Linked DNA regions of Anolis sagrei. The protein of the gene in region 3 interacts with the protein of the main gene of each other region in a biochemical or structural test. Links are inferred from orthologs where the notes say so. Each region holds a gene or a part of one and is shown on either strand. Other genes may lie near its edges.

Evidence for each region.
Region 1: the proteins of MBL2 (region 3) and complement receptor type 1 interact in a biophysical measurement, tested with the Homo sapiens proteins (2 studies listed by IntAct). The link is inferred for Anolis sagrei from reciprocal best matches to the Homo sapiens genes MBL2 and CR1.
Region 2: the proteins of MBL2 (region 3) and CALR form a complex in vitro, tested with the Homo sapiens proteins (2 studies listed by BioGRID and IntAct). The link is inferred for Anolis sagrei from reciprocal best matches to the Homo sapiens genes MBL2 and CALR.

Annotation. Positions count from the first base shown.
Region 1 is NC_090024.1:196,472,697-196,480,504, reverse strand, and holds the start of complement receptor type 1, read right to left. Parts: upstream 3,090-7,808; 5' UTR 2,595-3,089; coding exon 2,513-2,594; intron 1-2,512.
Region 2 is NC_090022.1:162,448,731-162,456,534, reverse strand, and holds the start of CALR (calreticulin), read right to left. Parts: upstream 3,098-7,804; 5' UTR 3,014-3,097; coding exon 2,926-3,013; intron 1-2,925. UniProt on the Homo sapiens protein: Calcium-binding chaperone that promotes folding, oligomeric assembly and quality control in the endoplasmic reticulum (ER) via the calreticulin/calnexin cycle.
Region 3 is NC_090023.1:155,058,960-155,066,745, reverse strand, and holds the start of MBL2 (mannose-binding protein C), read right to left. Parts: upstream 3,026-7,786; 5' UTR 2,880-3,025; intron 2,749-2,879; exon of another isoform or gene 2,595-2,748; intron 1-2,594. UniProt on the Homo sapiens protein: Calcium-dependent lectin involved in innate immune defense. Binds mannose, fucose and N-acetylglucosamine on different microorganisms and activates the lectin complement pathway.

The DNA.
Region 1 (7,808 bases), on a different chromosome or scaffold from region 3:
ACTGCTAATAAAGTGGTAACACCACAGGTAATTTCAGTATGTGAGAACCTAATGCTTACCATCCCATAGTGGAGGGAGTTATCTTTTCAATATAAGTTCACACAGAAACATGAAGAAAACTTATTAATGAGAAGCCTTTTTAAAAGGAGTAGCATAAGCAATGAGATGGGACTTTTTAGATTGCTGTATTTCCTGTAATCCACTGGGGAATTTGAGTACTTTGCTAGACTTCCTTCAGAAACGTCACTGGTGGTTTCCTCTTGCTATTGTTGTATGCTCATGCAAATCTAACATTTTGATGAAAGTAAATTGTGGTTGTTCACACTTTCTTTCCTTATTAGGCCCTGAGCTACCCTTTATAAGCACTCAAAAAACAGGTGAAAAATATACACATCATCTGTAGAAAGATCACAGTACTTCAGAATATGAATGTCAGCTTCAACTTGAAATATTAAAAGTTTGGAGAATATATGAAACCAACAACTTTTTACATTAGTATATATAGTATTCTTAAGTAATAAATGGTACACATTATCAGCAAAAAGAAATCATGTTTTTTCATCATATTCAGACATGGTAATAAAAACACAATCAGCCCCAAATATCTGAGAAATCTCTGAATGGAGAAAGTTCTTACATTGGCTGTTGCCTGCAACTATATCGACAGTACAAAAGCTGCATAAGGTCTAACAACATCACTGTGGTATACCAATTAACAAAACTGCAAAAAGAGCACAGTTCCTAAGACTGCTTCAACAAGCAAAACTGTATTCTTGCATCTGGCATTGCAGACAGATTGGCTGGTGACTGCTGGAAGAGCACTTTGGTTTTCTCGATGTTCACTAACAGGCCAAGCTTCTTATATGCTTCTATGAAGGTGTTTAGAGTGGTTTGTAGGTCTTCTTCTAAATGAGCAATGCCAGAAATACAACTTAATGGTGTAACATTAGAAAATGTTAACCATTTCCACTACCTTGGCAGCCACCTCTCCACAAAAGTCACCATTGACACTGAAATACAACACCACCTGAGCTCTGTGAGTGCAGCATTTTTCTAAATGAAGCAGAGAGTGTTTGAGGACCGGGACATCCGTAGGGATACCAAGGTGCTTGTTTATAAAACAATTGTCCTCTCAACCCTGCTATATGTCTGCGAAATGTGGACTATCTACAGACGTCACATGCAACTCCTGGAATGATTCCATCAGCATTGCCTCCGAAAAAATATGGCAAATCTCTCAGGAAGACAGGCAAACAAATGTCAGTGTGCTGGAAGAAGCAAGGACCACTAGCATAGAAGCTATGGTCCCCCGCCATCAACTCCGCTGGACCAGCCACGTTGTTTGAATGCCCGATCACCGTCTCCCAAAGCAGTTGGTCTAGTCCAAACTCAAGAATGGAAAACGAAATGTTGGAGGGCAGGAAAAGAGATTTAAAGATGGGCTCAAAGCCAACCTTAAAAACTGTGGCATGGGCACTGAGAACTGGGAAGCCCTGGCCCTTGAGCACTCCAGCTGGAGGTCAGCTGTAACCAGCAGTGCTGTAGAATTTGAAGAGGCATGAATGAAGGGCGAAAGGGAGAAACGTGCCAAGAGGAAGGCGCATCAAACCAACCCCAACCGGGACCACCTTCCACCTGGAAACCAATGCCCTCACTGTGGGAGAACATGCAGGTCAAGATTAGGGCTCCACAGTCACCTATGGACCCACTGCCAGGACACTGTACTTGGAGGACAATCTTACTCGGACAACGAGGAATCGCCTAAGTAAGTAAAGTAATTCTTGCATCTAACCCTTTCTCTTTAGGATCTAATTGAATTAACTGCCATACACAGTGCCTGCCAAGTACATTTCTTTTTCTGTCTCCGAGTCCTTCCACACAGCCATATATATATATATATATATATATATATATATATATATATATACATATATATATATATATACATACCCAAAATATCTGCTTTGAACTGGGTTACCTGAGTCCATGCTGCCATATATCCCAGTTTAAAGCAGATATTGTGGGATTTTCTACCTTAATATTCTGGGTTATATAGCTGTGTGGAAGAGCCCTCTCTCAGAGCATAGCACTGCTTATTGAGATTTATATCCTGATAACAACTTGTATCCCCAAGATACTAAATGCAATTATATCTATTGATACACATTGTTCTGAAGACTAGTGCACAAATATTATTCCTGGGCCACCTGAAACTAATAAAAAAGAAATTAACTCCCATTCCCTCTTCTGCCATTGTTTTTGCAGATTCTGTCCAAGGATTTTTCTCCCCGTGAAAGTTACTCAGAGAATAGATACCAGGAATATCATTGGCCAGTTCAACAGCACACTGGATATGTTGTACATTGCACTGACACTTTTGGCAAGCGTAAGGAAGACAAAGGGCAAAGGAAGCAAAAAAACAAACAAACAAACAAAAAAACAACAACGAAAGGAGAGAGGTGGAAGGGTGGAAGGAAAGAACTAAGCAAAACGTCATATTCTAAATTCTTACCTTGGTCTTCAAGGGTAACAGTAAAGAATGTAGTTAAAACCCACAACAGGCTTAGTGAGTAGGCAGGAATCATAGTTCTCATTCAGATCTTAAGTCTGCATGAGTTTCAGAACTCAGTAAAGATATATAATCACAGAAGAGGAAGGAAAAAAAAACAAAACAAAGAACCCACAATTAAAACTGGGGCTTTCAGAGAGGAACACCAATGTGAACTAGACTGAGAAGTACATAAAATGCTACCTAGCACTGAGAGTGCTATCACTGCAAACACGTCTTCACTCTAAATTCAGAGCAAAATTTTTCAGTATATCATGTAAGATTGATTTAACACTATGTGAGTCCCATTTCTGAAATTTAGCATCCCACATCAAACACTAAGGCTCCTTCCACACAGCTGAATAAAATCCCGTATTTTCTGCTTTGAACTGGAATATGTGGCAGTGTGGACCGAGCTAACCCAATTTAGAGCAGATATTGTGGGATTTTCTGCCTTGATATTCTGGGTTATATGGCTGTGTAGAAGGGCCCCGAAAGTGCATCCAGGCTGATAAAAAAGACTAGGAAGTCCTAGACTTTGTTTCTGTTATCTATCTATCTATCTATCTATCTATCTGGCCTGGGTAACAACGGAAAAATTTGTTTCTAAAAATCAATTCGTTTTTTGGGGGTTTTTGCGTTTCGATATTTAAAAGAATTCCGAAATATTTCTTTTAAAAAGTTCGATATTTACGAAATTTCATAAATGTTAAAAAATTACGAAACATTAACGAAACAAATACGAAACAATAACGAATCGATTCGTTAATGGCGGATGCGACCGCGCAATACGCTAAAAAACCTCCAAATGGGACAGGGGGAACTTCTGAAGCTTCCCTCTCCCTCTGTTGTTGACTGTTGGTGTGATATTATAATTTTTTTTCACTAATTAAACAAAAAACAACTATAAAACTTGCCCCAGACATGCGGAAATAATAACGAAACGACCTCAAACCGATAACGAAACAAATACATAATGAATCCAAAGCATTTACGAAACGAATTTAAAAATTCGTTCCGTTTTTAAGTTGCTCCAGAATGGTTCATTATTGCTTCGTTATAAAAAAAACCGAATTTTTAACGAATTACGAATTAACGAAATGAAACCGCCCAGCCCTACTATCTATCTATCTGCTCTGTTCATTTTGAGTGATATCATAACTCAAAATCTGCTGGACGAATTGCTGCCAAATTTGGCCACAAGACACCTACTAACCCAAGGAGTGTCCATCACTCAAAAAATTGATTTTGTCATTTGGGAGTTGTAGTTGCTGGGATTTATAGTTCACCTACAATCAAAGAGCATTCTGAACTCCACCAATGATGGAATTGAATCAAACTTGGCACACAGGACTCCCATGACCAACAGAAAACACTAGAGGAGTTTGGTGGGCATTGACCTTGAGTTTTGGAGTTGTAGTTCACCTACATCTAGAGAGCACTGTGAACTCAAACAATGAAGGATCTAGACCAAACTTGGCACGAATACTCCATATGCCCAAATATGAACACAGATGGAGTTTGGGGGAAACAGACCTTGACATTTGGGAGTTGTAGTTACTGGGATGTATAGTTCACCTACAATCAAAGGGCATTCTGAACCCCACCGATAGAATTGGGCTAAACTTCCCACACAGAACTCACATGACCAACAGAAAACACTGTGTTTTCTGGTGGTCTTTGGCAACCCTTCTGACATCCTCACGACCCCTCCCCCCCGGGGTCCCGACCCCCAGTTTGAGAAATGCTGCCTTAAGGCCATCCAGTCCAACTCCCTTCATCAGGGCAAGTATAATTGAAGCCCTCCTGACAAAGAGCCATCCAGCCATAGATATATATATATATGATTCACACACACGCACATATACTATATATATGAGAGATACAGTATCATAAATTTGAAAGGAACCCCTAAAGAAGGACAATTATATGCTTTATGTTCCAGAGTAGGCAAACCAGACAATCTCTACATCAGGGGTCCTCAAACTTTTTAAACAGAGGGTTCTTCCTGAGACCGTGGGGGAGGTTCTTGGGGCTGTGAGGGCGACCACCTCGGCTCTTGACCCTTGCCCATCCTGGCTTATTAAATCTGCCAAGGAGGGGTTGGTTGATTGGTTTGTGTTGATCATCAATGCATCGTTGGAGCAAGGGATTTTTCCATCCAGCTTGAAACAGGCTGTGGTTCGTCCACTCCTGAAGAAGTCATCCCTTGACTCTACAGTGCTGAACAATTACAGACCGATTTTCAACCTCCCTTTTTTGGGTAAGGTGCTGGAGCGGGTGGTTGCCCTCCAGCTCCAGAGCTTCCTGGATGACATCAATTACCTGGATCGGGCACAGTCTGGTTTCAGGCCTGGTCATGGCACCGAGACAGCCTTGGTCGCCTTGGTGGATGACCTCCGTAGAGGACTGGACCGGGGGAGTGTAACCCTGCTGGTCCTCTTGGACATCTCAGCGGCTTTCGATACCATCGATCATGGTATCCTTCTGGGTCGGCTCTCGGGGATGGGCCTTGGGGGCACGGTTCTATCGTGGCTCCGGTCCTTCCTGGAGGGATGAACCCAGATGGTGAAGCTGGGAGATGCCTGCTCGGACCCCTGGCCTTTGACCTGTGGGGTCCCGCAAGGCTCTATTCTATCTCCCATGCTTGAAACCGCTGGGAGAGGTCCGGAGTTTTGGAGTTGGGTGCCATCTCTACGCAGATGACGCACAACTCTACTACTCTTTTCCACCTAATTCCAAGGAGGCCTCTCGGGTGCTAGACGAGTGCCTGGCCGCTGTGTCCATCTGGATGAGGACGAACAAGCTGAAGATCAATCCCGACAAGACAGAGGTCCTCCTGGTTGATCGCAAACCAGACCGGGGTATAGGGTGGCAACCTGTGTTGGACGGGGTTACACTCCCCCTGAAGCCACAGGTCCTTAGCTTGGGAGTCCTCCTGGATTCATCGCTTACGCTTGAGGCTCAGGCGTCGGCAGTGGCCGGGGGGGCTTTTGCACAACTGAGACTTGTGCGCCAGCTGTGCCCGTACCTCACGAAGGCTGATCTGGCCGGGGTAGTCCATGCCTTAGTCACCTCTAGACTGGACTACTGCAATGCGCTCTACGTAGGGCTGCCCTTGAAAACGGCTCGGAAATTCCAACTGGTCCAACGGGCAGCAGCCAGGATGCTAACGGGGGCCCCTTACAGAGAGAGGTCAACCCTCCTGTTCAAGGAGCTCCACTGGCTGCCGTTTATTTTCCGAGCCCAATTTAAGGTGCAGGTGCTTACCTACAAAGCCCTGAACGGTTTGGGACCATCCTACCTTTGAGACCGCATCACAGTCTACGAACCCACACGCTCGCTCCGGTCATCAGGAGAGGCCCTGCTCGTGATCCCACCCGCCTCACAGGCGCGTTTGGTGGGGACGCGGGACAGGGCCTTCTCTGTGGTGGCCCCCCGCCTCTGGAATGCCCTCCCGAAAGATCTCAGACAGGCCCCCACCTTGGCGGTTTTTAGAAAAAAACTGAAAACCTGGCTATTCCAACGTGCCTTCTCAGATTAGGAACCCCACTATCAAAGCCCAGAAGCACTTTAGTAGAGTCAAGACCACTCCCAATGCACACCGCACTTATACTTTAATCTCATATCCCCCCGTCACTTTTTTCAGCACTTTTAACCCTGTACCCCACTCCAGCCGGCTCAGTTTTTTAATATGTCCCGTTGTATTGTTTATTGCCATTGTTCTCTGCTTAAACTGTTTTATTTGCTATGTATTGTATTGTTGTATTGTTGTATTGTTGTATTGTGTTGTGCTGGGCTCCGGCCTGTTGTAAGCCGCATCGAATCCCTTTGGGAGATGCTAGCGGGGTACAAATAAAGTTTAATAATAATAATAAGGTCACAGTCCCTCAAACTGTTGGAGGGCCGGATTATAATTTGAAGAAAAATGAATGAATGAAATAAGATATGCACACTGTACATATTTTATTTGTAGTGCAAAAAAACACTTTAAAACAATACAATAATTAAAATGAAGAATAATTTAAACAAATATGAACTCATTAGTATTTCAATGGGAAATGTGGGCCTGCTTTTGGCTGATGAGATAGGGTTGTTGTTGTTGTTGTTGTATGCTTTCAAACTGTTTCAGACTTAGGTTGACCCTGAGCGAGGGCCGGGTAAATGACCTTGGAGGGCTGTATCTGGCCCCCGGGCCTTATTTATTTATTTATTTATTTATTTGGAGTGCTTCTACCCCGCCCTTCTCAACCCCTTAGGGGGGACTCAGGGTGGCTTACAAAAAAGGCACATTTCGATGCCCAACAATTCACAAAGTACAATATACAATTTACAATTTAACATCAACAATTATCACTAGTTAAAACATCACATCAATACAATAACAGTAATAAAATCATCCTGTGGCCAATGCTCGCCGATTTATAATTTCATAATCCATCCAGCATTGTCATTGTCCTTTCCTGCTCTGGTCATCCTTGTCTTTGTCCGTCTGCCAGCTTACCCAAAGGCCTGGTCCCACATCCAGGTTTTTAGTTTGAGGACCCCTGCTCTACATCAACAATGACAAGAAAACAGCAAGAAATACTGTTTACCCACAAGTATAAACAAATTACATATATTAGAAACCAACACTTTCTCATTACTTTATTTTCCAGATTACCAGACTGGACCACAGCAATGTGTGGCAGGGGATGGCTAGCTTCTTATATACAGTATCCCAGAATATATTCTGCCACCTCTTGGTGCAATCAAAGAGTTTTTATACCTGCTCCCTAAATCAGATTATTTTAAGCAATATAAAACTGGAAAGAACAGGGACAAAATCTGGCATGTTTCAATCAATCCAAATGTGTTAACTGTTACATTAATTGCTGATCATTGTGGCCAATCCTGCCGTCTCTGCCTTTCTTCTCTCTTGTACAAAGCTAGGTTGGGAAGGCTAATAGTCACCAGATGAAATTCAGCATGGCTGCATTGCTGAGATTCCCTCATCTTCCCAACTATGAAAAGTAGAGGAGTCATCTTCTGATCTTGACTTTGACAACCCTACTTTAAAAACCTCCAGACTATACTTCAGTTCAGCTTTGGAGCAGAAGATGAGATTTTCTGTCTAGTTTTGAAGTATGATAGTAAGCAAAGGCTCCTCTTCAACCTGGAGAGAAGTGACCAGCGGAGTGCCACAGGGTTCTGTCATGGGCCCAGTGTTATTCAACATCTTTATCAGTGACTTGGATGATGAGCTAGAAGAAACGTTTAT
Region 2 (7,804 bases), on a different chromosome or scaffold from region 3:
CCTAAACATACGTTTATACAATCTGCTCAATGGTATTCATTTCTATGCAAATGCACAGAACATTCAAGACAAACTAGAAGACAATCCTTTATTTTTTAATTTTCTACTCCATCGTGGAATAAAATTGGACACAGGATTCTTTAGAAAATAAGCATCTCTAGGTCGCACTGGGCTTACCTAAATATCACCAATTCAGCCAAATCTACCTGGGAGACCCACATCTTATTATACAAACGCTACACTATCATCAGAACGGTCTTAATAACCTATACACCAAATTGCTGTTGCATGTAAGGGCCCTTCCACCCTGCCCCTATATCCCAGGATCTGATCCCAGATCAGTAGACCCTCATATATCCCAATTTAAAGTAAATAATCTGGGATCAGCTCCTGAAATAAAGAGCAGTGTGGAAGGGCCCTAAGTTTATTTCACACTGCAAACCACATTCTATGCTTTGACTGCACATACACTCACACACATATAGACCAGAGAAATAACTGCAATGAAATAAGCACAATAGTTCTCTTATTTCCACACTGCTGAATAAAATCCCACTTTTTCTGCTTTGAACTGGGATATATGACAGTGTGGATTCAGATAAGTCAAAAGTAGATATTGTGGGATTTTCTGACTTGATATTCTGGGATATATGGCTGTGTGGAAGGGCCCTCAGTGTAGTCCCAGACTGAGGAAGCATACACCTGTCACTCTTGATCCTCTGCCAACAGGCGGTACGTGTGTGTCGGGAGAGACATCCCAGAGTGAACTATTTAGTCCACATTCACAATCCCTGTGGCCCTCATTGATTACAGTGTAATTATCAACTCCCCAGTGCGTTTAAACTAGACACAACAGTCTTTTTCCTGTCACACATACTGCCAAGTTCTCAATTTCCTCTTCCAAATGGATCATAAGCACACACAATTCATGAGTGGGTTGTTGTACGTTTTTCCCGGGCTTTATGGCCATGTTCTAGAGGCATTCTATCCTGATGTTTTGCCTGCATCTATGGTAAGCATCCTCAGAGATAGTGTGGATTCAGATAAGTCAAAAGTAGATATTGTGGGATTTTCTGACTCGATATTCTGGGATATATGGCTCTAGAACATGGCCATATAGCCCAAAAAGCCCTATAACAACTCAGTGATTCAGGACATGAAAGCCTTCGACAATACTTTTCCTTTTTGATGCAAAGTTTAACAAATAATTCCTCCTTAGATGTTTTGGGCTAAATGCCTTATAGAGCAGATCTTTGAGTCAATTAACGAATTAAGATAAATCAACTCTGTGTATATTTAGTTGAATCAAATAATGTTTTGGTATATACTAACCATTCATTTTAAGGTTGTGATTCTTGTGGCTGAAAGGAACAGATGCCCAAGAGAGACAAATACTTGAGTGTGTGATCCAATCACATCCAGAGAGGTGACCTCACTACCTCTGAGGATGCTTGCCATAGATGCAGGTGAAATGTCAGGAGAGAATGCCTGTAGAACATGGCCATATAACAAAAAACAAAACAAAACAAAAAAAAAACAAAAACCTACAACAACCCAGTGATTCCAGCCATGAATGCCTTCGACAATAAATTCATGAGTGGCCACTTAAAAATAGGGTGGACATGAGCAGAGCTCTTCCTTTTCCTCCCTTGAGAAAAAGCCCACCCCCTCCCAATTAAGCAGCAAGTTGCCTCCCTCATATATATTCCTATTTGTATTTATTCTTGGATCCTAAGAACCCACAATTCAAACAAGATATTTCACAGGGTTGTTGTAGGTTTTCCGGGCTATATGGCTATGAATTGGATTTTATGAGTCTACACTGCCATATAATCCAGGTCAAAGCAGATAATCTGGATTTTAAATGGCAATGTAGAAAGGGCCAGTGACTGTAGATTCAACATATCTGGAATCCTTCCTCCTGTCATCAATATTTTTTGCATTTCCTGGTACACTTATACTCTGGGGTAGGCATGCGAATGCAAAAGCAAGCAAACCTAAAAGCTGCAGACCCTTTCTGATCTTGGTAGTTAAGCTGGGACATTTCTGGTTACTCCTTGAATGGGAGACCACTAATGAATCCTAGTTACTATAGCTTGTATTTCTGAGGAAAGAACTGGGAAAATCATCTCTGAATTCTTTACCTACAGACTTATCACAGGGCAAAAAAGGATCCTAGGAGAATGTACTGTCGAAGGCTTTCATGGCTGGAATCACTAGGTTGTTGTAGCTTTCAGGCTATATGACCATGGTCTAGAGGCATTTTCTCCTGACGTTTCGCCTGCATCTCTGGCAAGCATCCTCAGAGGTATTTCACACATCATGAGTGGCTTGGAAAGCAAAACAGGATGGATATGAACAGAGCTCTCCCATTTTCCTCCCTTGAAAGCCCTCCAGTAAATGCCCTACCCCATCCCCAAATTAAGCAGTCAGTTGCCTCCTTCATAATATATATCCATTCCCATTCGTTTTTACATTCTTGGCCAGGCATCCAGGTTTCTCAGCCACTCTTTACTTGGAGCAGAACCTGAACCATCATGGCACAATTCTCTCTAAGGGGAACTCTGTGCCAGCCTAGAGGGGATTGATCCCCTCCCCTCCCAAAAGCCTCCATCTCTACTATGGGGTTGTCTATGGGGAAACTGCAATGTCACCCCCAGCCTTCCTCGAGCCCTAGATGGCCACAATCCAAGATGGCGGGGGGATGAAGACAAGAGAAAGACCAACCCAGGCTCAGCCCTGCTTCTCTCCATCCCCCTCCCCTTTTGTTGCACTCCTCTTAGAGGCCTACTGTTGTGATTTTACCCTCCTAACGACCCCTGGATAGAAGGGCTCCAGAAATATCCCTCACCCACCCATCCTCTCTCCCTCCCTGAGATGGGCCCATCCCTGCTGGAGGCCCCCATTCATTTCCTCGCCGCTCACCTCCATCCCCAAACTCCTCCCGGAAGTACTGCGCAGGCCCAGCCGACACCAGGGCCAGCATGGAGCAGAAGGCCAAGAAGAGAGCCATGTCTTTTCCCCGCGCGCAAGGTTCTCCTCCTCGAGCCTGACAAGGGCAACCGACTGCGGCCAGCGAAGTGCTTTCGCTGCCCTTTTATACCGGGCTGGATCGAACGCCCGCCTCCGCCGTGTCCCGATTGCTCGCGCCGGGCCGGATGGACACTGCCATTGGTCGGTCGGAAAGACGGCGGGTTGGGCAGCGCCCCCGAACGTTGGCGTCCCAGATGGCCGCTTCTGATTGGATACTACCTCTGGCCAATGGGGCACGACCACGCGTTCGGGGGGAGCCGCCCCCTCCCTATCGCCTTGTGTGCGTCACTCTTCCTTTTTCTTTTTTTTTTTGCACAAGCCCCACGTGACCCCGGCGGGATTTAAAGGGCCAGCTCAAGGCCGCTTTCCTCGCTTCTTACACCCATTCATTGCAAGGCTCTGAAAGGAGGGTGAAAGCACATTGGAGAGTGGGAATCATAGAATCATAGAGTTAGACCAGTGGCCAGGACATCAAAGGACATTTAACCAACTACCAAACTCACAAGTTTTGTATTTGTCTGTTTGCTTGCTTGTAATATAATGGACTGGTTGCTCTGACAGGACAAATAAATAGAGTTAGACGAGACCTCATGGGACATCTAGTCCAACCCCCTGCCAAGAAGCAGGAATATTGCATTCAAAGCACCCCCATCCAGCCTCTGTTTAAAAGCCTCCAAAGAAGGAGCCTCCACCAGACTCCGGGGCAGAGAGTTCCACTGCTGAACAGCTCTCAAAGTCAGAACGTATCTCTCCTTACAAACCCTTTAGGAATTTAAGATCTTCTAGGGAGGCCCTGCTCTCGGCCCTGCCATCTTCACAGGCTCGATTAGCGGGGATGAGGGATAGGGCCTTCTCAGCGGTGGCCCCTCGGTTGTGGAATGCCCTCCCCAGGGACAATAGATCAGCCCCCACCCTCTTAACATTTCGCAAAAAAGTTAAAAACTGGCTATATGAGCAGGCCTTCCCAAAGGCAGTGTAGCTTTGAAACTCTGATCTCGGAACGGTTGGACAATGTGACTGGACAATGACTGATTAATGAAATGTGGAGGACTTATGGTTTTTTATTATGTTTATTGATGTTAATTGTAATGATTTTTTAAATCTGTGTTAAATGTTTTTAATGTTTAAACTATTTTTGTACTGTTGTGGGCATCGAATTGTGCCGTTTTGTAAACCGCCATGAGTCGCCCTCGGGCTGAGAATGGTGGCATAGAAGTGTAGTAAATAAATAAATAAATAATGTTCTGCTGGAATCTCCTTTCCATCTGAAAGGAGCATAATGGGGGTTCCAGGTTGCGTCTGCCCATGAGAAAGATTGGTTCCAGCTCTCCAAGCACTTGTGCTTTACTTATGATATATTGTATATACATCTAATATTTATAATATTAAAATGTAATACAATATAATACTACTACTAATACAATATTATAATTATGTATTCCATATTACATGTAATATCACTAATAATATTACAATATAATGGCATAGTACTGATATTGTACTATGCTAATAATTACTTACTTACTTAGGCGATCCCTCGTTGTCCAAGCAGGATAGTCTTCCAGGATTAATGTACTGGTGGTTGGTCCATAAGTGTCTGTGGAGCCCTATTCTTGATCTGCATCTTCTCCCGCAGTGAGGGCATTGGTTTCCAGGTGGAATGTGGTCTCAGTCGGGGTTGTCTTAGCGTGCCTTCCTCTTGGCACATTTCTCTCTTTCACCCTCTATTCGTGCCTCTTCAAATTCTGCAGCACTGCTGGTCACAGCTGACCTCCAGCTGGAGCACTCAAGGGCCAGGGCTTCCCAGTTCTCAGTGTCTATGCCAGAGATTTTAAGTTAGGCTTTGAGCCCATCTTTAAATCTCTTTTCCTGTCCACCAACATTCTGTTTTCCATTCTTAAGTTCAGAGTAGAGCAACTGCTTTGGGAGATGGTGGTCAGGCATCTGGACAACGTGGCCGGTCCAGCAGAGTTGATGGCAGAGGACCATCGCTTCAATGCTGGTGGTCTTTGCTTCTTCCAGCACGCTGACATTTGTCCGCCTATCTTCCCAAGAGATTTGCAGGATTTTCTGGAGGTAGCGCTGATGGAATCGTATCAGGAGTTGCATGTGACCTCTGTAGACTGTCCACGTCTCACAGGCATATAGCAGGGTTGGGAGGACAATAGCTTTATAAACAAGCACCTTGGTATCCCTATGGATGTCCTGGTCCTCAAACACTCTCTGCTTCATTTGGAAAAATGCTGTGCTCACAGAGCTCAGGCGGTGTTGCATTTCGGTGTCGATGTTGACTTTGGTAGAGAGGTGGCTGCCAAGGTAGCGGAAATGGTCAACGTTTTCTAATGTTATACCATTAAGCTGTATTTCTGGCACTGGAGGGGGGTTGGCTGGTGACTGTTGGAAGAGCACTTTGGTTTTCCCGATGTTCAATGACAGGCCGAGCTTCTCGTATGCTTCTGCGAAAGTGTTTAGAGTGGCTTGTAGATCTTCTTCTGAATGCGCAGAGACGACATTGTCATCAGCGTACTGGAGTTCTGTAACAGATGTTGTTGTAACCTTGGTTTTGGCTTTCAGTCTGCTGAGGTTAAACAGCTTGCCATCTGTCCGATAGATGATTTCCACTCCGCTGGGAAGCTTCCCATCAACAAGATGAAGTATCATAGCGATGAAGATGGAGAATAAAGTTGGGGCAATAACACATCCCTGTTTGACACCTGATATTGTACTATGCTAATAACAAATTGACCATACATATAGCAATAACCTATAAAACCAACTTTACAATAAAGCATAAATAAACATTTTAAAATTATTTAACAGATATAAATACAATTGTTGTGGGAACTCCTCAATACAGATGATAAACTTTACTCAACTCACTGAAAGATATAGCCTTCCTGTCATTCCAAATTAAATATCTTCATTAAAAGCTTGCTTGAACAGGAAGGTCTGAAGATTATTATTTAAATAATAAACATTTTATTTAAATAATAACCATTGACAAATTCCTGACCATAAAATGCCTGGCTTCGATTAAAAGCTGCTTCAAAAAGGAAGATCTGCACAGCTTTCCTGAATGACATCAGTGTGGAAGCTGATCAAACTTCCTCCAGCAGCTTTGGAGCCACTCTCGAGAATGTGCTTTCTCTGGTGGCTTTTAAATGCATGATGGCCCTGGACTGTGTGGAGAACAGAGTCTCCTTACTAGACCTTAAAGGTCTGCCATTTATTAGAGGACCATTGTGGCTTAGTGGTTTGAGCATTAGGTTATGGCTCTGTAGGCCATGGTCTGAATCCCAGCTCGGCCATGGAAGCCACTGGGTGACTCACTCAATAGTTTGATATTCTGCATTAATATTGTGTTTTCTCACTTCTCCCACCCTTTGCTCTTTTCTGGTTTGTTTTGTGTTACTGGCATCATCATTGAAACCACTTGTGTCAAACTCAAGGCCCTTCATATCATTTAATGTTGTCCTGCAGATGCCTGACTACAGCTCCTATATTTTTTGTTATTAGAGCTGATGAGAGTTGTGATATAGTAACACCTGGAAGGCTGCAGTTTGTTTTGTTTAGTCACGAGAGTCAGGGTTGGATTTAGGTACAAGACTTGTGGATATGATGTCTGACTTTAACATGTCCGCTAACATTTCCCCAATCTTAGACCCTCAAGGGTTGTTGGATTGCCAGACCCATTATCCTCAGTCTGCATGGCATATAATCAAAAGTGTTGGGAATTGTCATTCCCTAACATCCAGGGGCCCAAAATGGGTAAAAACTAAAGAGACCCAACCACTATGTAAATATCTCTATATAAATAAAAATGTAATGTTCGTTCGTGGGATTAATATAACTCAAAAACCACTGGACGAATTGACACCAAATTTGGACAGTGTACACCTAACAACCCAATGTATGTCTTTCACTAAAAAAAATGATTTTGTTATTTGGGAGTTGTAGTTGCTGGGATTTGTAGTTCACCTACAATCAAAGAGCATTCTGAACTCCACCAATGATGGAATTGAATCAAACATGGCATACAGGACTCCCATGATCAACAGAAAACACTCAAAGGGTTTGGTGGGCATTGACCTTGAGTTTGGGAGTTGTAGTTCACCTACATCAGAGAGCACTGTGGACTCAAACAATGATGGATCTGGATCAAACTTGGCACAAATATTCCATATGCCCAAATATGAACATGGAGTTTGGGGAAAATAGGCATTGACATTTGGGAGTTGTAGTTACTGGGATTTATAGTTCACCTACAAACACAAAGCATTCTGAACTCTACGAATGACAGAATTGGGGCAAACTTACCACATAGAACCCCCATGACCAACAGAAAATACTTCAGGCCACCCAGTCCAACTCCCTTCACCAGGGCAAGAGAATGTAATCAAAGCCCTCCTGAACAAGAGCCATCCAGCCATAGATATAGATAGATATATATGATTCACAGAGAGAGAGATATAGTATCATAGATTTGAAAGGGACCCCTAAAGAAGGACAATTATATGTTGCATGTTCCAGAGTAGGCAAACCAGACAATCTCCATATCAACACTGACAAAGAAACAACAAGAAATACTGTTTACCCACAAGCATAAAGGCATTACATATATTAGAAATCAACATTTGCTCATTATTTTATTTTCCAGATCACCAGACTGAGCCAAAACAATGTGTGGCAAGGGATGGCTAGTATATATATATAGTTGGTCCTCTGTATTCATGGAGTCAATGGTCCTTTGAAGGCAACCATCAGGCTGAAA
Region 3 (7,786 bases):
CAAATTCATCATGGATCCAAAAAAGGACTTTACATTCCTATCAGACAGACACAATTGACTGCCAAGAATTGATATAATCTGGGACACAAAAAGCCTTACTACACAACAGATCTGGCCGTAGTGGTCCACACTCTTGTTACATCTCGAATAGATTACTGCAACACACTCTATGTGGGGTTGCCTTTGAAGACTGTTCGGAAACTTCAATTAGTCCAGTAGGCGTCGGCCAGATTACTCACCAGAGTGTCATACAGGGAACATACCACCCCTCTGTTATGTCAGCTCCGCTGGTTGCCGATCCAGTTCCGAGCACAATTCAAAGTGCTGGTTTTGACCTACAAAACCCTATACGGCTCCGGCCCAGCGTACCTGTCCGAACGCATCTCCTTCTATGTACCGCCGAGTTTAAGATCTTATGGGGAGGCCCTGCTCTCGGCCCCACCTCGATCACAAGTGAGATTGGTGGGGACGAGGAGTAGGGCCTTCTCGGTGGTGTCCCCTTGCCTGTGGAATTCACTTCCCGGGGAAATCAGATCATCGAGATCCCTCCTCTCTTTCAGAAAGAAACTAAAAACATGGATATGGGACCAGGCCTTTGGGTAATCTGGCAGATAGACAAAGGACAATGACGACTAGAATTGATATGATTTGACAATGTGGAATGAATTTATGGATTCTGAGCTGGCGAACGTTGAACATTAGATTGGTTTTATTGATTGTTTTAACTGTTTTAAGTGTTTTATAATTGCTTTTGATACATGTTTTATTTTATTGTTGTTGGCATCGAATTGTGCCTTTTGTAAGCCGCCCTGAGTCCCCCCTCGGGGGTTGAGAAGGGTGGGGTAGAAATGTGTGAAATAAATAAATAAATAAAATATGAAACTTTGTATTCCACCCAAGGATGGTGTCAGACTATGTCTCCATTTCAATTAAACTAAAAGGACAAGACAGACAATGAATATAGAGGCTTAATGACAATTTACTCAAGAAAGAAGAAATCTTAAAGAAATGTGAAAACTATATTTAGGATTTCTACAATTAAACACAACTCTCTGAATGTCACCATATACATTCTGGAATATGGCAAAGTTTTATAAGGGGTAAATTAATACAACTCAATGTAATAAAAAAAGAAAATAAACTGGGTCAAACTGCACAAAATTCAACTGAAAATTAAAGAAAAGGAACTTGAACATAATAAACAACCAAAAGATAAAATACTAGGTAAAGAACTGAAATTATTAAGAATTCAAGAATTCATCCACTTAGTTTTGGGAAGTGTTTTAAGTTTTTGCCAATAACATTTAAAAAATCCAAAAAAAGGGAGAGAGGGAGGTATCTCCTGGATTTTCTCCACAGTGACTGAACAGGAGTAGGGCATAATTCCTGCCAAGTTTCAGAAAGATCAATTCATCCACTGATAATTAGGAATTTCTTAATTTTTCTCTCTCTCATTCTGAAAGGAGGAGACAACTTGTAGGGAAAAAACAGGGAATTCTGGATCTTGAAGTCCAGGACAATAGAGAGGAAATTCAGCTTGTGTTTGGCTGAGGCTGATCATGTGATGCCCATCAACCTGCTGCTTCTTTAAGTATGGAAAAAGAAGCCATCAGAGTATAAACAAAGCTAATGAACTTTTTCCGGAATTCTGTGTGTGTTCTATTTTGCCCTTCCAGTGTTTTGTTTTGGCAGTTTGTATCCACAAATCTCTGAATTTTGCCACAATCAGAATTGACTGCTGGAAATTTGCACACACCGAGTCATTATCATTATAAAAGCGGACAAGTAAATTCTCTGGTGAGATATAAAGGTTGAAGCAGGTATCAACGAGCATGGAAACTAACTTTTTGAACATGCAGATCTTTCAAATTTGTGATTCTTTTTCTCTTCTCAAGGTAGATTTTGCCCTTCTTAAATGGAAATTATGCAGGGATTCTAACCCAGATCCATAACAGCATAACTATGCCTCGGGTTTTGCAATGTAACCATCTCTGCTTTCAATAATTGTAATGGGGTTGCTGTGAGTTTTTTGGGCTGTATGTCCGTGTTTCAGTAGCATTCTCTCTTGACCTTACACCTGCATCTATGACAAGCATCCTCAGAGGATTTTTCAGGGGTCAGGGGAGAATGCTGCAAATGTCAGGAGAGAATGCTACTGGAAAATGGCCATACAGCCTGAAAAACTCACAGCAATCCAGTGATTCTGGCCATAAAAGCCTTTGACAACACAATAATTGTAATGCTCACCTAATGCCCCTTCTACACTGCCTTATATCTCAGGATTGGATTATCTACTTTAAAATAGATTATATGTGTCTACACTGCCAGATAAGCTGGGATAACAAGATAATCTGGAATCAGTTCCTGAGATATAGGACAGTGTGGAAGGGGCCTTAGTGTGCAAGTTCTAGCTTGATCTGTGCCACAGCACAAATTGAGGGTGGCTTCAAATTCATTATAGTGTCTGTGTAGAAGCACCCAAAGAAAACATGATTACAGTTCATTCAGCTGCATCAAGAGCATGGAGGAAGACCAACTGAATAAAGCAACCACTAAAGGTGGGGGAAATTAAGGTGTAAAGCAGCATTACTTACCAGCTCAATCCAGTTTCAAATAAAATAATTCATTTGATGTGAAAAAAATACAAAGGTGGGAACAAAGAGCAGATTTATCTTCTCTTCAGAATGCTGAGAAAAAACAGGGTAAGGAAAAACCCTCTACACAGGTAAGCATGTTTACTTAATCCCCATGCTTGCACAAATCTATGGATTGCAAAATGGGGCTTTCTATTTCACCATTTATTAGCATGGACTGTGGTGTTTTATGATAAGCTCGTTGCCTATTGACTTACTAGATAACAAGAATACATTTAAAGTTACCTTTTCAGATCACCTCTCCAAAGTTGTTTCTTTCCATCTTGTGGCATTTTATGAATGACAGTCATACAAAAATCCGCAAGACTTGGTACTTTTGAACCATTATCAGGCCTATTATAGTACACATGACTTAACTTCTGGTACGTTCTCTAGGGTGACCTTATAATTCTAATGTCTAGTGAGGTTGAGAAATCTTTAAAACAGGAGGATGGGGGAAAAGAGTAAATATCAGGAAGAATAGAGTTTGTATGCATAGTTGCTCAAACAATACCAAGTTCCCAGAAGGAAGGAAGAGGTGAGTCACATTTGACCTCTCCAAACAGTTAAACAGAGTTCTGAATTGAGGCCACAAAAAGTGGACCATTTTTGGGAGACACTTTGTTCTCTATCAGGTACATACATATTTCTGTGGGATTTCCCCCCCTTGCTGTTACCTCTTGAAAAACCTGACTGATTGGTGTTACTCCAAATGTTAAAGATCCTGTTGTAGTACAGCATGATAGTAACGTTCCTACTACTGGTAGAAGGGAGAAGAGGGCTGCGCAGGTGTTGGAGGAGCAGCAGCAGCGAAAGCGGATTAGAGACATATTCATGGCTCCAACTGATTCCGAGTCCTTCGAGGGTTTCTCAGATTGTGAAATGGGGGAAGGAGAGGAAAGCAGGGGAGTTAAGTGGGCTACTCAAGAATCAGATGAGGAGATCCAAAGGAAGCGTCTTTCAAGACTTAGGTCTTCCCAAGTGTTCCCAGATTGCCATTCCTCTGCAAACCCCTCAAAGTCATCACTGGATGTAGGCTGAGTACAGATGCCCCTAATCTCCTGCATCACTCCCATCACTCCTTTGAAAACCCACAAAGTCTTCATCTTCTGTTGGAGACTTTGTGGGTTTTCAAAGGAGTAATGGGACTGGGAGTGACGATGGGGAGGAGGATGCTTTAGACTGGATCCGTAGCAGGAGATTAGGGGCATCTGTACTCGGCCTACATCCAGTGATGACATTGAGGGGTTTGCAGAGGAATGGCAATCTGGGAACACTTGGGAAGACCTAAGTCTTGAAAGACACTGACAAAGGTGGAGAGATGGGCATCAGTGCTCAGCTGCAGGGAATGGGGCAGCTGAAAGTGATGATGAAAGGGTGGGGAGCAGTTCATCCTCTGGTGAGGAGTTATAGGATATAAGTTGGTTTGAATTCAATGGGTCTTTGCAGAAGGCAAAGTGTCTTATTGGGTTTGGATCTTTGTTACTGTCATTACTCTCAAGTTTGGGCCCTTGGACTACAGATCTCCGTGTTTCCGTGACTTCTGGCTGAAACTCCGTAAGTGTTGACTTCAACCTCCCCTTTGACTCTGGACTGTGTTTTGATGATGACTTTGCTTTTTGGACTGCTTCATCTCATTTTGGATGTGCCTGGACTTTGGACTGCTTTTGGACTTTGATTTTGCATGCTCCCACCTTGTTTTCTTGTGCTTTTTGGACCTTTCAAGTGGATTGCTGTAACTTTTTGTTATCCCAGATTATACTCTGGTATAATCCAGATTATTTTTAAATTGGGTTTTTTGCTTAGCAGTTGCTATAGACTCTTAGTTTGTGCTAGAGGCACCGAGTTAAGTGTCTCTAAGCCTTTTTGTGTTTAATAAACCTTTGTTTGGACCTTTTATACTGTGTTTGTCATTCTTGAGGCTTCTGGGTCTTGACAGATCCACTCTCATTTTACATTGCTAGAATGTGCTTTTTAAAAAAAGCCTACAGTGTTTTATAAAATCAGATATAATAGCTTCTTTTTAGTTTTAACCATCACAAATGAACTCTAGAATAATTTTAGACCATTTATTGTTGTTAAAATTGTTATTATACAAACATGATACAATTTCCAAAAAACAATTTTCTTTGTCCAGATTGTTTTTGAGAAGTGTCTTTATTAAACTCATCATTAACAAAACATTGCAGTTAAAAGTCATTTGGAACATTGAGATCTTGACATCTTTCCAATTAATTAGCCCTCCGTTGGAAGAGAAGGTCCAACAACTTGTATCTACTTTCCACCCTAGTGTTTCTCAACCTTTGGTCTTCCAGGTGTTTTGGACTTCAGCTCCCAGAAATCCCAGGAGCTTATCAGCTGTTAGGAATTATGGAAGCTGAAGTCCAAATATCTGGAGGAGCAGAGTTCGAGAAACATTGCTCCAGCCTGTTAGGGAGTATGAGCTTTTTGGACACAGCAGAGCAGACAGTTATGGAAGATAAAAATACAATGAACATTTCAGAGGAATGGATCAGGTCGCAATGATGCCAGAAATTTGGAGTGGAATATCTAGGTTTGCTAACTGTGGATGGCATGAATCAGGAACCAGGAATCTCACCATTTGGAAGGCAAATGACAAAGACCTTTATTCAATTTGTGCAAAAGGAACACTCATATAGCATGGATGCTCAAAAGGTATAAGCGTAAAAGCATAATCGTAACCAAACATTATTATACTCAAGAATTCTCTTGCATTAACATTACTACATTTAGAAATTCCCTCCCTTTCCCCTGACTGGCCAGTGCCGAGAAGCCAGCCGGCATTCCCCAGGTCTCCAATTGGTGAGGAGGTGGGTCTTGGTCAGTGCCAAGAAGGTTGTGGGGATGGAGGCCATTTCTAGTTCATCTGAACTTCTTTTCTTGGGAAGCTGCAGTTCCCATGGAGGTTGAATTATGTCTTCTTTTTATTAGGGGTAGGGTTGGGAGTCCTCAATAACACCAAGTGCAAGAGGATGACATTTGGAGGACACACAGAAGTAGAAGGACTAGGGATCATTTTTTGAGCTTGAAACTACAGATTTGAATAGAAGCACTCTCTACTAGCAGTGATGATAAGGAATAGCAAGAAGAAAAGCAACAGTGTCTGTCCTCAGGAAATGTGCAGGTGGCACAAGGAATGGCCACTGCCAAGGGGACATATGGTGGTGTTAGGGGGCTCCCTGCTGAGTGCAACAGAAGTGATTTGTAAGCCTGATAGGATGACTTCAAAGTTTTGCTATCTTGCTAAGTGGAAAGAAATCTGTGATGTAACAAAGTGGGTGACAAGGCTTGTTAAGCCAACTGACCTTAGGTTTTGTTCAATATGAGAATCAATCACATTATAAGGTATAGCCTTCAGCATATCACGAGGGATTACATGGCTCTGAGTAGGAAACTAAATGGCCTCAATATACAAATTATCTTTTCATTTTTGCTCCCAGTTGAAGAATATGGCATAGGTAGAGAAAGAAGAATAGTGTATCAGTGGTTCTCAACCTGGGGTCCCCAGATGTAAACTGGCTGGGATTTCTGGGGGTTGTAGGCCAAAAACATCTGGGGACCCCAGGTTGAGAATCATTGGTGTAGATGAACAACTGTCTCAACAGATAGTGCTGCTAGTAATGAGTTTTAGCTTCTTGGACCATGGTATGTACTTTCATGAGGATGGTTGTCTGGCAAGATATGGGTAACATTTCTCAACAGTTGGCAGGAATTTTTTTTGTTGATAAGACACTCACAAATATGACTGGAAGGGCTTGAAAATGAAATTTGTGGGGAAAGGAGTCATTATTCTTGAAGACGGGAGTTCACCAAGTGTTGGAGATAATAGCCTAATGGTTATAGAGAGAACTGGATAAAATATACAACTCACATGTGAGATAGAAAAGCTACTTAAATAAGCAGCTAGGGGAAAATGGCCCATGGGGTCTCTAGTCCAGTGGTTCTCAGTGTACTCCATGGAGACTTTGGGGCTCTGTGAAGCATTCTCAGGCACTCCACCTCCCCTCTAATATTTCCCTCCTCTTTCTTGATCCTCCCCCTCCCTTTCCCCCCAAAGTCTTTTTTTCCTTGCTAAAAGTTGGCCTTTGGGGTTGCTCTTTATTGCTGCTGCTGCTGCTGCTGTTGTTGTTATTATTTACTACTACTACTATTGTTACTACTACAAAGGCTGGATGGCCATCAGTTGAGGTACTTTGATTTTTTTTCCTGCATGGAGAAGGGGATTGAACTGGATAGCCCCTGGGGTCTTCCACTGAAATACTGTTACATTTATGTTGGTTAAAATTGTTCTTCATTTTAAATACTGTATTATTCTTTCTTTCCTTTTTCTTTGCACCACAACAAGATATGTGCAATGTGCGTAAGAATGTGTTCATGTTTTAATTTCAATTAGTTCACACAAACACTGTGTATCTGCCACTGACCTGGCCTATCTGTCAAATTTTAAAAACACAATGTGTCAAAAGGTTTGTCCATGCCTGTGATACACACACACACACACACACACACACACACTCACTCTAGCTTGGAGACCCGGCAATGCCCTGGTTACTTGAGAAAGGCATTGTTTGTTTTGGGAAGTTTGGTAATATCTCTGGTGGCTACAAGATGAATTACAATTTATTTATTTATTTATTTATTTATTTATTTATTTGCTTCATTTATATACCGCTCTTCTCAGCCCTCAGGCGACTCAGAGCGGTTAACAACCGGTTACAACAAGACGATACAAAATCAGTAATCAATTAAAACAGTAATATCAACTAATTAACACCAGAATCAATACAACAGTACAGCAATATAACAATCCATCACGTCTCATCAATAGAATCAGCATCCAATCTCGTTGTCCATTATTCCATTCCAATAATCACTCAATTGTACTGCTTAGTTGAAAGCCTGTTCGAAGAGCCAGGTCTTCACACTCTTCCGGAATGCCAGTAAGGAGGGGGCTGATCTAATGTCTGTAGGAAGGGCGTTCCACAGCCGAGGGGCCACTACTGAGAAGGCCCTGTCTCTCATCCCTGCCAGGCGTGCTTGTGAAGCCGGCGGGACCGAGAGCAGGGCCTCCCCAGACGATCTTAACGTCCTAACTGGTTCATAGGAGGAGATGCGTTCGGACAGATAGGTCG